Kluyveromyces lactis: one gene and its partner. The protein of the gene in region 1 interacts with the protein of each later gene in a pairwise test. Links are inferred from orthologs where the notes say so. Each region holds a gene or a part of one and is shown on either strand. Other genes may lie near its edges. The genes, in order: APM1 and APS1.

Region 1 (3,484 bases):
GCGGTATGGAAATAAACGCCATCATATCTGAACTATATATATATATATATAAATCAATGAGATATACCGATATTTATTTCAATAATGAAACATGAACAAAAGCTTCCAAAGGCATTCCCATGTTTCTTCTATTATGGCCATGCTCGTGGGTAAAGCATATTTACCAGAACCTATTGTGTCATCTGTGGCCCCTTTTACATGACAAAAGTAAGTCGGTTATATTCTATTCTTGTCGTAAATGTTTCAAGAATGAAGCGGTGGCTCAATGGTAGAGCTTTCGACTCCAGTTAAATTCTGGGAATTTTCCAAGGAAACAAAATTGCAATCGAAGGGTTGCAGGTTCAATTCCTGTCCGTTTCATTTTTTAACATTTTTGCATAGCTAGTCACATGACTACTTTTGCCACGTGGATTATGATTTTGTCCAATAAACTCTCATCGAATTTACTATTCCGCGATAGTTTAATGGTTAGAATTCGCGCTTGTCGCGTGCGAGATCGGGGTTCAATTCCCCGTCGCGGAGGAATTTTTTTACATTTTTGTATCAAGGTACAATCTCATCCTAAAACCCATTGTAGTACAGAAACAGAGAAGCATTATTAACATACACTGAACAGAGACTCTAACCTTATCAATCCTCACATGCCCAATGTTGTACTTTCTTCAAGATTAACGAATAATGATTCAGTGTTCTTGCAGGAATGGATTAAACCTTCGGTAAGGCCTTATTATTTAAAGAATGAAAAGACGAAATTCTGGCCAGAACAACGTGAACTGGTAACGGACTTACTAGAACATGATATCATAGAGTCAGCTTTCCAAACGGCTTTGAATCCCGCACCTCAGAGGTTCGTCAGAATTGTTAAATTCCATAGAGTAAACGATTACACCGTTTATGCAACGATTAGAGACTCTACAGCATTAATTCTATGCTACTTCACTGTAGACTGCGTGCTAGATTACGAAACTATAAACAATGATAGGATCACATTGAATACACTGAATACGTTGTTCGTCATCGGCAATGTAACCCTACAGTTTTGGAACCACAGAGAGTGCAAATTATGGTTCAATCAGGATTTTCCTGGACTTCGAATGGTCCCCGTGCTCAAGATTGAAAAGGCCCGGATGTTTGACAGAGACCAGATCTCGTCCAATGTCCAATTTGAATGGGTATATGACACACTTCATGGTTGAAGGTCTCTCTTGCCGAGTGTTCGCATTGTTAGATGCAATTTAGCACCTCGTGTATGTGGTGTACCGCTGTAAATAAGTGAAATTTCGGTATCCAAAGCATTGAAATCTCGAAACTACATTTATAAATAGTGTCTGAACAATGAACAATCTAAGTAATAGCCAAACCGTACACTAATATATCGGTATAGGACCCTGTATAGTAACCAATTGTGCAGTATCACTAGTGTGTTTTTTGCTCTTTCTTTGGTGGAGTTTCAGGAGGCAACATTTCTTAAAAAGATACCAGTATAATGGCTTCGTACGTTGCATTTTGTGATTCAAAGGGTAAGCCACTACTCTCGAGAAGATACCAAGATGATGTCTCACAGTCTGCTGTCGAATCGTTCCAGCATTTGTTACTAGAAAGAGAACAGGAAAGCAGTGTCATGCCTCCTTGTTTCCATCACAATGGGATTCACTACATGTACGTGCAGTATAACGATGTTTACGTGCTAGCATTGACCAGGTCAGTATCCGTTAATGCTACCACTATGTTCGCCTTCATGTACAAGTTGATCAATGTAGTTGAGGAGTACGTGAAAAGGGTGGAAGAAGAGTCAATCAGAGATAATTATATTATCATATACGAACTTTTAGACGAAATGATGGATAAAGGCGTTCCGCAAGTGACAGAAACGAAAATGTTGAAACAGTATATTACTCAGAAGTCATTCAAATTGACTAGGTCAGCGAAGAAGCAAAAGAATGTGGCTAGACCACCAACCGAATTGACCAATTCTGTCAGTTGGAGACCAGAGGGTATCAAGTACAAGAAGAACGAAGCGTTCTTGGATGTAATCGAATCGATCAATATGCTAATGACACAGCAGGGCCAAGTATTAAGATCTGAGATCTTGGGTACTGTCAAAGTTAGATCCCGTTTATCTGGTATGCCTGATTTGAAATTGGGTTTGAATGATAAAGGTATTTTCACAACTAATGATCAAGAAGATTCACCTGAACCTGTAGTTTCTTCGAAGAAAAAGAATAGTAATATAGAACTTGAGGATCTAAAATTCCATCAATGTGTGAGATTGAGCAAGTTTGAGAATGAAAAGATTATCACGTTCATCCCACCTGATGGGGAATTTGATCTAATGACTTATAGACTCTCTACCCCGATCAAACCTTTGATATGGTGTGACGTTAAGGTACAGGTACATTCAGGGTCTCGTATCGAGATTCACTGTAGGGCAAAGGCACAAATTAAAAAGAAGTCAGTAGCGAATAATGTGGAGATTTTAATACCGATTCCGGAAGACGCAGATTCGCCCACGTTCAAATATTCTCGTGGTAATATCAAGTGGGTTCCTGAAAAGAATGCAATTCTATGGAAATTTAGTAGTTTCCAAGGTGGTAAAGAGTACTCAATGGCTGCGCAACTGGGGTTGCCCTCAGTCTCTGATGCTGAACCACCAAAATTAAAAAGACCAGTACAAATCAAATTCCAAATTCCTTATTTCACAACATCCGGTATTCAAGTTCGTTATTTGAAAATCGAAGAACCAAAGCTACAGTATAATAGTTATCCTTGGGTACGTTACATTACGCAGAGCGGAGACGATTACACCATCAGGCTGTGAAAGTGACCATGATTTGAAGAATTTCTGGCCATCCTACTCTAATCTATCAGTGCTTATATGAGGAGAAAGATTCATTTGCAATTAAAAATGAAACGCCCTTGAGAGAAACGCTACTCAATCTGATCTTATGTGTGTATATAGTAATATAAATCTTTTTCCATTCTCAATTATGTTTAAATCCTTTGACATTTACTATTACATATGAGAAATCGATCGTCAGTAACTATGTTAGCCACTGGGTTTTATAAAGACTTGGCCAATTCTAAAACCTCTTTCTTACCTTCTTCAATACTGACCTCAGGTGAAACTTGAACCCTCTTCACTTCTAGTTTACCGTTCTTGAAGATCCAGTGAGATCTGACAACACCAGAAACAGCTGTCTTCTTAGCACCCAAAGCTCCGATAAATTCACGTTTAGGGTCGCTTAATAGATCAAAAGGCAAGGCTTGCTTAGTTTGGAAACTCTTCTGAGACTTTGGAGCGTCAGCACTTAGTCCAAAAACAGCAGCGTGTTCCTTCAATTCGCTATAATTGTCTCTGTAGCCACACGCTTGTCTAGTACAACCAGGTGTACTGGCCTTTGGATAAGCAAAGAACACCACTAATTTATTCTTGGAGGCAACTTCTTTCAACGATATCGGCTCGTCATCCTGATTTAGTAGAGTT
Region 2 (2,582 bases), on another chromosome or scaffold:
TAAATAACTGGATCGTTTTTGGTGAAATAGATCTATCTCAGACAAGCCAACATTGTTCCGAAGTATTGACCAAAGCAGAATATATAGTGATTCAAGAGATTGCTACGAACTATAGAAGGGGTTTTAACTAGAAAGAAAGTAATGACGCTAATAAAGATGTTTGCAGCTAGACAAGCCATAGGAAGATTTGCATTGATACAGAACAGAAACTTTCATGCTACGCCGATGAGATGTTATAAAAAATGGAATGAACTAAAGAAGGATGATAAGCAGGAGTTCATCAAGAATTTCGTTCTTTTGTACAAAGAAAAGCATCCATGCAGTAAGAGTAACGTAATGTACAGGGCGTTGGCCAGTGAAATGGATGAATACGATGATACCCCATACGTATTTGGTGTTTTGTACAATGAGATTAGGGCTGTTGAAAAAGGCGAATCTACTGATAACGAGAAAGGTGTAGGTGCGATGGGGGATGCAGATTTTGTAAAACTATTGTACAAGTAGAATTGTTGAGTTTCCGTACATAAAGAAAGAAAGGATAATATATTGTACATATTCACAATTTAATTTAAATTTCTATTCATCTCGGTCAGTATCACGTCAATTGCTTGAATGCATGCATTCTCAACTCAATACCCTATCAAGGTCATCATTTGATTCAATTGCATCCATGGCCTCCACAACATGTATAACTTCATCTTTACTAGTTTCTATTATAGATCCGTCACACATTATCATTTCATCCAATATGCTGTATGCCTTGCTAAAATTGAATATGATATCTAACTCGCAGACGTTCCCAAAATATCTATCCATAGTTTCCACAAATCTGTGTATAATTTCTAAAGTCAACAATTCGTTGTCCGAATCCAAATCAATCCCTGCAATGAAGTATAAACTGGCATATTTCTTGTACACGACTTTGTGATCTTGATATTCTAGAATATTGCACATTTTTGACTTCCTGGACAGTACGTTAGTCGTCACTTCCCTTAGTATTTTATGCTTGTACTTTATATCGAAGGGTTGATACCATCTGATTAACCTAGTCTTGCCTTGCCTCGACGTGAGAAGCATGTACTTAATCTGTGACATTTCAATGACCTTTTTTGTTTATAACGAATAGGATAGCTTTTGTCTCTTAAGCTCGGTGGTTGTGGTATTTAATGCCCTTGTTAATCGTTTATCCGTAGTTTCTCGGATACACCAATTGAAAAGTTGTAGAGCTGAATAATAACCTTAATTTTAAAACATCAACTGGGACAGAATTAGACTTAAACTTTGATTCTAGTGACCTGTTATTCTTTGTTTGTTTTCTTTTGCTTACATGCTGATTCATTCGATTCAGTTACGTTATTACATTCATGTTATATTAATAGTTAATATAACGAAAAATGAGAATCACCGCAGACGACTTTGCATGAAGCTGAAGAAGCGGATACACAAAGGATACATGCAATATATAATTTACATATCCATGACCTGGCCTAATCTTCATCTTCTGGAGGTGGAACCCATGCTGGTGGTTTGAAATATTCTTGATCACTGGCGACATCTTGCTTGAATTTTTCTCTATCGTCACAGAATTCGAGCAAATACTCGATTTCCAATTCATGGGTTTGCCTACCGAGTATAACTAAAGAATGCAATGGTTCACCAGAATCATATTCGGCTAGCTCTTTGATGGTACCTGCTTTGAAGGTTTGGCTTGCAGAACCTAGTCTTGAGATTGCTACACAGGGAGTATCAGGAGTATATGCCTCAGTGCCTCTTGTTTCTTCAATTTCCAATAGTTGTTCACAACATTGTGCAATACTCATGTATCTTGGAGGCTCATAAATGAGTCTTCCACGAGCCATATTCTCTATACTCTGTTCCTTCACTTTGATATCTAGAAGAACCAAGGTGTGCAACCCGATTTTCCGGTTTTCCCATATCTTGTCGTACCAGGAATCTGGTCTCCAACTATCGGTGAAAAAGACCATAGAGATCGTTTGACCAAAATTGTATAGTTGCAACCCACATGATCCTACTGCATTCATAACAGACGCGTTATGGATGACTTCTACTGGAATATTCCTTTGCTTGGCACGCAACACCAAGTCAGTATGAGTGGTGGCTCCAAAAACGTCACCGACAACCAAAAACGCAACATCTTCTTTATCGGCATCACGGAGAAGTTCTTCAGCTCCCGATTCGACAAGTTCCCTGTCAGCTAGTGTAACTTTCTTGCCATAAAATTCCTCTAGTTCTTCTAGAGAAGCTGTCATCAATATGGAAGTGTAGTGCTCCAAGTACACTCTCGAACATTGCTTGATGGCATTCAAGCCTCTGACGGTGATATCTGTTTCGTAAGAAAGACCTAATCCAATAAAGTACAACATAGCTACCAAAACTACCCTCGTTACTTAAAACTTCCTCAGTTACAATTTGAAGCAGAGACCAAGCTAAGTGCAATTACTCCATTCCCTCCTGTCAACCATGCGATGAGCTAGTCATCTCGATCCACTTTAATTAAAATTTTCAACAATTCGATACGTTATGAAGTTGGGACAAAAAGAGAAAATGAATGGTATCAGCTC

Evidence for each region.
Region 2: the proteins of APM1 (region 1) and APS1 interact in binary tests that used the Saccharomyces cerevisiae proteins (3 or more experiments, as listed by UniProt). The link is inferred for Kluyveromyces lactis from reciprocal best matches to the Saccharomyces cerevisiae genes APM1 and APS1.

Annotation. Positions count from the first base shown.
Region 1 is NC_006040.1:1,215,088-1,218,571, forward strand, and holds APM1 (Apm1p), read left to right. Parts: upstream 1-1,486; coding exon 1,487-2,818; downstream 2,819-3,484. Other genes in the region: telomerase subunit EST3, read left to right, coding at 642-1,196; thioredoxin peroxidase DOT5, read right to left, coding at 3,061-3,484. UniProt on the Saccharomyces cerevisiae protein: Component of the adaptor complexes which link clathrin to receptors in coated vesicles. Clathrin-associated protein complexes are believed to interact with the cytoplasmic tails of membrane proteins, leading to their selection and concentration.
Region 2 is NC_006042.1:2,118,642-2,121,223, forward strand, and holds APS1 (Aps1p), read right to left. Parts: upstream 1,096-2,582; coding exon 625-1,095; downstream 1-624. Other genes in the region: KLLA0_F22792g (uncharacterized protein), read left to right, coding at 142-504; DPH5 (diphthine synthase), read right to left, coding at 1,488-2,384. UniProt on the Saccharomyces cerevisiae protein: Component of the adapter complexes which link clathrin to receptors in coated vesicles. Clathrin-associated protein complexes are believed to interact with the cytoplasmic tails of membrane proteins, leading to their selection and concentration.